Schizosaccharomyces pombe: one gene and its partner. The protein of the gene in region 1 interacts with the protein of each later gene in a pairwise test. Each region holds a gene or a part of one and is shown on either strand. Other genes may lie near its edges.

Evidence for each region.
Region 2: the proteins of scd2 (region 1) and tea5 interact in a two-hybrid assay, tested with the Schizosaccharomyces pombe proteins (one study listed by BioGRID).

What each region holds. Positions count from the first base shown.
Region 1 is NC_003424.3:2,380,378-2,385,667, reverse strand, and holds scd2 (Cdc42 GTPase complex scaffold subunit Scd2), read right to left. Parts: upstream 3,165-5,290; 5' UTR 2,497-3,164; coding exon 2,488-2,496; exon of another isoform or gene 2,435-2,487; coding exon 833-2,434; 3' UTR 515-832; downstream 1-514. Other genes in the region: metallothionein Zym1, read right to left, coding at 3,786-3,938; SPOM_SPAC22H10.06C (uncharacterized protein), read left to right, coding at 4,067-4,348. UniProt on the Schizosaccharomyces pombe protein: Required for mating and morphogenesis. Interacts directly with scd1 and with cdc42. May bridge and facilitate scd1 and cdc42 interactions.
Region 2 is NC_003424.3:4,596,742-4,601,966, forward strand, and holds tea5 (serine/threonine protein kinase Ppk2), read right to left. Parts: upstream 3,136-5,225; 5' UTR 2,882-3,135; coding exon 939-2,881; intron 881-938; coding exon 826-880; 3' UTR 725-825; downstream 1-724. Other genes in the region: gid8 (ubiquitin ligase complex subunit protein), read left to right, coding at 1-58, 103-528; rnh203 (ribonuclease H2 complex subunit), read right to left, coding at 3,522-3,965; protein mug157, read right to left, coding at 4,786-5,225.

The DNA of each region.
Region 1 (5,290 bases):
ATTCTAAGTATACGGAAAAGGAAATTATATGAGCATTTTTTATTTTTGAAATTTGATAAGCATTAAGGAAAGTATGCATGTAGTAAAGCAATATTTTAGATAAACTAACAAGATAAAGCGTCTTTAGTATTGGATTAAATGTATGCAGCATGTTACTTGTGGTCACATTAAATGTAAGAAATAATGTATACATAAATGAAGTAAATGTATAGAAGAAAGCGTTTCCGGCTTCCAATATCTAATTGTTTAATGAATCAACAGGTAGTTTGCAAAATTGCCTTTACCAAATTGGCTGTATATAATATACGTGATCGATATTGTAGCTGGTTCATATGAACCAATTTATTACTGCGACATGATATTGTATTACCAAATCTGCGTTGATTCAGCTGATTAAGACGTTGTCAAGAAATGTTGAACTTCTCGCAATAAAAACGTTTTTATTTTACTACTTAGGCTTACCTTTATCCCCTTTTGAAATACGTCAAATACATATATGTTTGGAGGAACAGTATCAAACAACTAATGAAAATATTCAATTGAATGATTGTGAACAAAAAGGGAGTGCATAGTTGAGATTTTTTGTTTATTTTACCTCCAAGAAAGCTAATATATAAGGAGAATAAACATTTTGCATCTTATTCGGTCGTGATTAAATACTATCCAAAAACGCATACCTCTCGAAAAAACAGACAGATATATTAGAAAGATAAAGAAAGCTATTATACCGATGAAATTAAATTAATAAAAGTAAACCATGAAAGAACGAAACGAAAAAAAAATAAAATGCAAGAACGTAATAAGAAACCCAAATCTTTAAATATACATAGTCTCAAAACCTCCGTCTTTCTGCAAAAAGTAAAACTCCTGATTCTTGAGAACATGCCTTCCGTAAATCGTCAACATTATTAAGAGGTAATACTTTATTCGCGTTCGTATCTCTGTATGACAAATGTTCACATTCTCCGAGTTTATTAGTCAATCGTTCACAAAAATCTTCAAATGAGATATCAGAGGGAACGCGCAAAGCAAAGGTTTCATCTCCTAATCTGACTTTAACTTTGCATGTCGAACCTGCAGTAGTCGGAGCTGATTCGGGAATAGAGATATTAGTAGCTTTTTCAGGAGCTTTCTCTGGCAAAGAGAAACTTAACGGTTCTCTGGGTAAGGCTTCAGGCATCGTACTAGTTGGATGAGGGGACTCAACGTCTCCGTCAAGCGGTAAGAAGAAAAGTTTGACGAGTTCATTTTCGAGTAAACGAGCTGGAAGCCTGCACATTTCCTTCAGATATACATCTAAATCCATTGCCCTTTGTGAAGATATTAATTCATTAACGTCATCAACTGGACCGGGCATGTAAGGAATAACTCGTCTTTCGTCCCCACGACCAGCTTCATTAGGAAATAACTCTAAAAACTTCGTCTGGAAATTAAAAAAGTCTTCGTAATATCTACAAAGGTTTCGATGTTTTCCATCACTCATAACGGCACGGACCAAATACCAATATTGGTCATCGCGAATCATGTAGTTTTCCACCATTGCAGCAACAACGGTAGGTTCAGAAGACATGTCTTTCTTGTTCTTAGAAGCGATGCTAGCCGTACGCGACTCCAATGTTTGCAGAGGTGTTAATTCGTTAGCGACGGAACCAGGAAAAGTGCTTGAATTGTCAGTAGCAGCTTGATATGTAACATCGTTATTAATTTGTAAATTTTCAGTGCTTGGACTTAAGCTAGGCATAGTTTGAGTTTCACCATCACTGAATTTCCCTAAAGGAATACTACTCTTTTTATAATCAGCAGCCGCACGTTTCCAATCCTCTACACGAGGTATGCAAGAAATACGTAAAACAGCCTCACTAACGTCTTTTATCACAGCTCCGGTTTTTAAATCTCGAAGTTGTATAAATGAAAGAGGAATGAGACCTGGACCCCCTAATCGTCCTATAGGTTTGGCTACTAACCACTCATGATTTGACCGAGCAATAATTATAATAGCCTCACCCGCCTTGGCTTCAAGTTCATCTGGTCGTTCAGCAGCAAAATCGAATTGCACAATTCCAAATAGCGGCTGTGAACCAGAATGGAGTTCACTGATTGAGCTCCTAGTGGTACTAGAATTGGTGGTTAAGTCTGTAAATGATATTTGCCCGCTGCCATCACTGTCTCGTTCCGATTTGACCGTTTTTCCTATCTCTTCAAAATGAGATACTGGAACAAAGCCACGAGTACCTGCAGCGGGATTACAAACTTCGTACCAAGCCTTGTCATTTTCACGACCTATAACATGAAAAAAGTCACCCTTGGCAAATGAAACTTCAGTTGCTTTACGAGCTGTGTAATCATAAAGGGCCCTAATAACTTTTCTCGGGGGTTCAATTGAAAAAGGATCTTTATCAAGAATTCGACTATGAGTTTTCCAAGTCCTTTTAATCTAGAGATGGTTAATAATTGATTAATTAACAAAAAATTTTTTTTGAAGCATACCTTTAACATAGAGACTGGAATTAGAACAAAAAGAAAGAAGGTAGTAGAACAAAATTTGAAATTATATTACAATAATCTCAGAAAGATTCTAACTATTAGAATTCCCTGCAACAAAAAGATTTAACTTAATTTTCATAAAACGATCAAGTGGAAATTATAATTACAGACAAACTGTTAAAGCGATAACCTACTGTAAGGGTATATGAATTAAGATCCGAGATAGCAAAAGGAATGTATGAAGAAAAGGCAAAAAGAATGGCACGGATTTAAAGAAAGCAATATATTGTAAATGAATCAATAATTAATTTCCAAACACTTTGAAAACGCTGTCGTTTTTATGAAAGATGAGTATACAGGATATAATATTCTCACAAAACAGACAAAATCGATTTGTTAGCACGTTGTAATTAGAAAGAACGAAGAAGCTAGCAGACACTCAATTATAGTGACTGAACTGCTGAGCCCTGAAAGATAGATGAAGGAAGAAAAGGACGGGAAAAGAGGCTTAATATAGAACAATGAGAGTTGGTCCAAGCAGCAAAGTAATATATTAGAAGAATACAAACTCAACAATTTTAAACAAGGAAACGTATTAAAATTTTTCCCAACTGACTCTCTTATTAATTTCCCTCTTACCAAGTATAAAATTACAGATCTACAACTTCTATGTTCAAGTTACCTTTCAGTTAATTCTGGAAGTGAATTTTGTCGCGTAGCATTGTAGTTCACTATCGTAATTATATTATAATGAGTATTAAACAGTTTAAAGGATTACGCGCTATTAGCGTTCGCTATGAAAAATAGATTCCGTAGTTACCCAAATATAATGTATACATTTGCTTTACAGAGCTTAACTTAGCAATGGTATAGAAGGAAGAAACAAACGTTCGTTAGTGCCGTTAAAATATTAAGACATAATTTTGGTTGAATTGATACAGAGTATCTTTTTTTGCACATAAAACTAATTTATTGTGGAAAAGAATCCACAATAGTGGACGATTTTCCAAGAAGATGATGCCCTTACTCTACGCTAAGCAAAAATAGCTGTTGAAAATAAATCAATTTATGATTTCATTATTATTCATAACAATCATATCTTAAGAGTTGAGTTGTAAGTAAGAATGCTCTGTAAAAAAGTAGCAATGTAGTAGGATCAAGACATCAGGGCGATTCGTTGGTCCATAATAGTATTGTTTTCTCGACTGATGCTTCGAAAAACAATAAGACGAGGCGGACATTGCTTTATGGATGAAATATTTCGTCAAGGCCAGAACTACAGTCCGTAAATCTCATATAGATTACTTCGAAGCACATTTGCAAGAAGAGCACTTGCAGTTATCAACAGCGCTGCTCTTGCAACCACAAGACTCTTTGCAATCTTGGCAACCGCACTTGGATTGGCAGTCGCAAGGCTTGCCTTGTTTGCTCTTACATTGGGTAGTGTGTTCCATCGTTGAAAGTTTGTTAGGGTGATATGAGTTGTTGAAAGTCGATTGTCTCAAGCACGCTTAAAGTGGTAAAAAAGGTGAGAGTAGGGTGCCTTTATATACATTTTCCAAGCTAAAGGATTGACAGTATCATGTCATGTCGATATAGGATCTGCAGGGATATTTGGAGAGGCAAATGCATATACGTATTTAGATGTTTGTACACAAATCATGCTGTTGTTTCATGGAACCAAACAAATGAAGTGATTGGACTTTACAAAGCAAATGAACATAAATTTATGAATAATAGAAAACAATCTCATATTAAGAATGGGTTAGTTGTATCATATTCAATATTATATCCAGTTGGTAAAGGTAGATCTCTGCGTAGTACTGGTGTTGTTTTGATTCTGGGTCCTGTTAAGGAATATTAACACTTTACATCATCTGATACTCGGGTTCCGTTCGTATCGCCACAATAGTTCCCGCCAAAAGGTAGGTGCCGCAATGGCTTTACTCCAAGATTCTAAATTCATACAGACTAGCTATGCCTTCCAACTGAATAAATATCAGACTTGAGGGCATATATGAGGAGGGTGTGGCAGAATTCACTTTTGTCCGTCAAATTCACTATTAACATTGGTTATAAAATACGCAAAAGTAAGTCTTTACGAGTTTAGTAAAAGCTGAAACTGATAGTTCTACAGTTTTCCTACTTTCTAGAATTCTCTGTTTCTGCAAACTTTAACTTAAAATTACATTGAAAACATTGGTTAAATTCGTTTGTTTACATTTATTTCTAAGCATAAAGTTTTTGGATTTATGCATCTTATCTATGTTTATGTACTCCTTTATCAGTAGATTTTATATTGACAGATAGATTGAGTATATAGTTGTTTACATGTTTAATCGCGTGGTGAAGCTTCTAGCAAAATAAAACATCGAGCGTTTATTAATAGTGAATAGAAATTAGGCATAAGAACAACTGAGGCATTGCACAACTTATAAATGTCTACGCGGAAGCTCATCACGAACTTTTGGTATTAGTTATTCGTTACGCTAGTATTATACTCTCTTTTCCATGTTTATTTCTTTCGCTTGAAGAGTGGATTATACACACATTGTATCCACTTATTTGCACAGGAAGTATTACAAGTGGACCTTTTCAGGTTCGGTCAGTAAGTTTTAACGCATGCTATCTTGCATTTTAAACAACTTTCCCTTTAACAGAATCACATATTGTACGAACTTATGGGCCTAAAAATATACTTATTTTCTGTCATAAGTCGTCCAGTATAAGATAATATAGCATCATAATAAAAACTCAACTGTGGCACATATCGTTATATTGACTACCCTTCAGTAGCTAACATTTT
Region 2 (5,225 bases), 2.2 Mb from region 1:
AATTAAATCAGGTTCAATTAACTCTGCAATATGCAAACTGAATGAATTGGAGCCAGAGGTATGCTGAAAGCAAGTAAGGATTACGAGTTAACAGCTACATAGATTTTGGACACAAATTCAGAACTTCTGTTTGAATTATTACGATTGAGATTGCTTGAATTGATACGAGAAGTTGTTGAAGAGAAAGATACCTCTGATTTAGCGGTAGAAAGATGTTTAAACTTTGCACATGAAAATTTAGCACCTTTAGCACCCTCAAATCAAAAGTTTTTGAATTCTTTAGAGTTGACAATGTCGCTTTTATGTTTTCCTCCTTCTTCCTACAGCCCTGCCTTGAAAAATGTTTTGAATTACAGCCAACGTGAGCGTGTTGCAAACCTTGCCAACGTTAGTATATTGAAGTCTCAAGGATTATCAAATGAGTCTAGGTTGTTGTCTTTGGTAAATTTTGAGCGCTGGTGTGAAAAAGAGGCACAAAGGAATTCGATTGAAGTGCAGAAATTTGTGCCCAAAGCATCCATAAAATGATTACTTTTTACGACCTTCCTCAGTTTATGCATTTATGTCTGTTACATCCATTTAACATAAGAACTTTTTTCGTATTGTTCTCACTAATGATAATTAAATTATTGAACTCACAAATGATAATATGACATTCAATTAACAAAGCCAATTTTTGTTGTTAAGCAACATCGTATAGTATCAAGTTACTGACAAGCAAAGCAAACACAACTTTTCCTTTTAAAAGTAAGGAGGGAATTTAATGGGTTATTAAATTAGCAATATTTTTTCTATGGCGAATAATTTGATTTTCTTCATTGGTAATCATAGATAACTGTAGCGAGATGCCTTTCGTTCTCGCAAATTAAGATTGTTTAGGCTAAAAAAAAAGGTTAGAATTGGATATAAACAAAAGTGTTCCAAAACTGAAAACTTACCAAATTTCAAAATTGAGCGTTTGTCGCTTTTCCAAAAAACTAGAAGTTTCCAACAACATATTGATATTAGGGCCTTGTAATGTTTCGGCTTGCAAGGTTTGTAAAAGGAATTCCTTAAATTCTTGGCTAATTAATCCACGAACTCGGTTGACTAAAACATTTGCATTCGGAGTTAGTTGGATGGATTGAATAGATTTACGAAAAAAGTTTGGCTGACCTTGAAAAATTTCAAGAGCAACTAAGCCCAAGCTTTTAACATCCTTCATAAATCCTTCTTTATAATTCTTTTCAATTAACCAGTCAGGAACATGAGATACTGCTCCACGGTTAGTCTGTCTTTCAATGTATGGCGAAGAAAATGCATAATTGCCAATTTTAAGGCAACTGCTTTTCGTGAGATATATGCATTCGGTAGTAAGGTTATGATGAGCTATCCCACTATTATGAAGAAATGCAAGACCAGAACTTATCTCATAACATATGGAAGCTATGTTTAACTCACTAAAAAAATATTTGGGGATTAAAGCTGACAACTTGGTGCTTGGGTCTTTATATTCAAAGACCGACCAAATATTGTTCAGATACCAAAAACTCTCGTTATAACGAATTAAATTTTTGTGAGAGAGACCAGATAATCGCTGCAATTCTTCGAGTAAAAGCCTCCTATGAGTTACAGCTGAAATGTCAAACCGTTTAATTACAACCACTTCTTTATCCAGAGTTTGACGAGCAACGTAGGTTCCAACTGTATCTTGTTGGCATATTTTGGTAAAGTCGGTATAGAAGAACAATGGATCTTTTTGTGTGCAAAGGCAGTCTACTATCTGTAGGTAATACTTTTCTCGTGCAACGAAACGCATTAGATCATCAGAATATGAAACTTTATGCATAGCTGCAGCAGGGATTGAACTACTTGGATGACCGACAGCAGATTGTGAAAGTTTTGGGCTTTGTGGACTAGGCTTGGCAGGACTAATACTAATTGGAGACATAGGAACTGGAGTAGAGACAGATCGAGATAAAGGATACGAAGAAACATCGCCTTGTTGTATTGTCGTTGCGGAATGCCCATCGTCCAGACTTTCAGCAGTAGAAGCACTGCTAAAATGCGAAGCTACTGACACAAACCCATCTATGGATTGTGTATCTACGTTGTGTAGTAATGGAGCATCATAAGCGGAAGGTGAAATGCTATCTCTGTTACCATTTGAGTTTTCCTGTATGGACGACCGATAGTTAGTAGTATTAGGACGAATCGAGATGTTGAAATTATCGGGTACTAAATTTCGGCAATTCATTGAGGAAGTAGAAGATGAAAGTCTGTTGGTTGAAACTTCATCAGGCGTAGTGGGGACTGGGGGAGAACTTAATGCTTGGGAATTAAGAACAGTTGGAAGACTGCTCGGACTATGATTATAGGAGTAAGACTTATATAGATGAATGGGGAGGGAAATAGGAGCTGATTCACTTCTGAGGTGTAAAGATATTGATCGAGAAAGAGTAGAAGATTTTTTAGAATTTCTACGAGATAACGATGGTAGTCCATGTAAACTCCTGCGTCTATACATGTCTTCTTTTGAAGATCGTGATCTATTTAGTCGTTTAGGACTGCCTGAATCATCAGATGAATGCCAGACTTCCGATTGTCCATTCGATTTTTGGTTTTGCAAATGGAAAGGAGGACTACGAGTACTATTACCAGACCCATGAATTAATGAAAGGAAGTGACCACTCAGACGACGAGCATAGTATCCAAACTTCTTTTTTGGTGGTTCTGGGGCAGGTCGCGAAGGCTGCAAGTCAATTATAGAGTCATTAGGAAAAGAAGAAACTAAATGATCCTCAGAAGCTCTACAGGCAGACGAAGACGCATTGCTTTGGCAGGCATTATTGTGAAAGTGGCTTTTTGCGTGATGTTCATGGAATGTAGAATTGGAAAGCATACAAAAAAAAGTAAATCAACAAAGAAGAAAAAAGAGAAAGCGACCATAAAATACAAACTTTTCGAACATGAAAAGCGAGAATGATAAACAGAAGTAGACAATCGAACTAACACCCAAACAAAAAGAACGAATAATTGGAGTGTAATTCGAGGAAATTGTTTGATAAATAAAGCTATTACTTCCCTTTTGTTAATTAAAATACAAAAGCAAGTCCAATTTTTCAACAATCAAGATGGATATACTTTACAATAGCTGTTAGGTTTGTACCAAAACTGATAAGTGTAGTGTTACTCTCAAGGTAACGTCCGTAGGTAACGAAAAATTCCTGAAATTCTTAAGAAGATATAGAAAGAAGGTAAATCAATATTATTGTTGATTAGAAATAAAGGATTTTTGATGTATTCGGGTATTGCTCATAGATGCTTATCTTTGAAAGTTAAAGAGTTCAGAAGATTCGATAAATTTCCCGCTTATTAAATGATCCCAACGGATGCCTGCGCCAGCATCTCCTTGAAGTAATTAAATATCCAACATGGAATATTGAGAACTGTTAGTGATGAACAGCAAAAGTAAGATGAGAGTTCATTTGGTGTCCGCGACCTGGTCGAAGTTAGTATGAACATTTGTAAACAATATATCCTTAATTATACAAACTACAGTTGAACTTTACCTTGGAAGCAAATTGAATCCACTCAAGGACTCCTCGTTTCCATTGATCTTTTTCTGAGCTCCTCATATTGTCACGATTCCACAACATGACTTTTTCGAACGTTGAATTGATACACCAGGTGGATTCAGGGATTTCCTTTTCTGAGGTTTCGTCATTCTCTAGTCCATCATCGCATAGTACAACTTGCCCTGTATAGTTTTCTGGAAGATCTAGTTCTTCTCCATTTAATTCGCGTCCACGCAAACATACTGTTGTTTTCGAATGCGTATTGTTCGAAATTTGGATTTTGTCATGAAAATACTCGAAAACGGGCGCAGGGCCGTCGTAAGATATATGGCAAGGAAGCAAAGAAGCTTTCTCTAAGTTTGAGCTTCCTGCTTGCTCCAATTTGACAATAGGTTTGACTGAATCCATTGTGCTCTAAGAAGGCTATCCCTTTTCAAACACACTAGTCTGACATTTTCTGAATCTAACTTACAGAGTCCACCGAGTAATGCGAAACTGTAGGTAAAATTTCCAACGATGCCTTAACTAAATTTAACAATATATCTCCTCGTTAAAACGAATACGAGAATCGTAAGAGTAAATAAATCAAGAGTATGCGAATGTATATAATAGTAATATTGGAAAAGAAGAAAGTAATAGTTGCTTTTTTTCTTTTCTTTATTAATTTAGTAGAATGGGGAAGGATGAGTCTGGCCAACGGGGATGGAAGTTTAGTCAGATAGTCTATTTATAGTTTATTTGAGATTCTTTGTTCCGAAAACACTTCCATTATTTCTTGACTAAATATAAATTAGAAAGTGATAGCTGCGTAATTTTTAGTAATTACTTTAATAATACTGAGGATATCTTATGAATGATAAGTGAGAGAATCGCAATAATACATACGAATTTTAGTGTTGTAGTCTAGATTTAAGCATTTATAAGAAAAGTTGTAGAGATAATTAAAGGATTTGCTACTCTATTCTACCTTCTTTTTAATGTTAACAAAAGACGGCTTGTATTAAACCAATAGTGGACATCATAAATAGTTTGTCGTAACAATTTGAATATAGTATAAAAAATCAGACATGAGAAAATTGCATAAAATTTCATTAAAACAATATCAAATAAAACTTTTTGAATCCAATCCATTTTATGAGATTAGTAGCTCCAGTTCAGTCAAGTCGAAGTTGCATCTAAACAGTCCAAATTGATTCACAAAAGTTATAATTATTTATAATCATGAGTTTCATGATGCATTCTTCTTTAACAAGTGAGGCTTGCGTTCAAGTAAATCTAAAATCAACTCGGCAAATAATGAATTAGCCCATGAAAACCAGGGTCGAGTAAAGCTTTTAAAACTCGAAACATCAACAGACTCATGCATTAAGCCTAAACCAGCAGTTGAATGCTTTAAAACATCAAGCAAAGACATGATTTCATCGTCGTCATCAGAAGTCAGGGCTTGAACAATGAGACTCATGGGCCAAACGTTCCTCAAACCAATGTGAGGACCACCAATACCGGAGATAACTTTTCCCTTAAGGTAGTAAGGATTTCCTTCTGAAGATAAAATCATCTTCCTCGTATTAACATATACAGGGTCATCACGTTCTACAAATCCAAGATAAGGTAAAGACAATAGAGAAGGAACATTGGCGTCATCCATAAATAAAATGCTGCCATAAC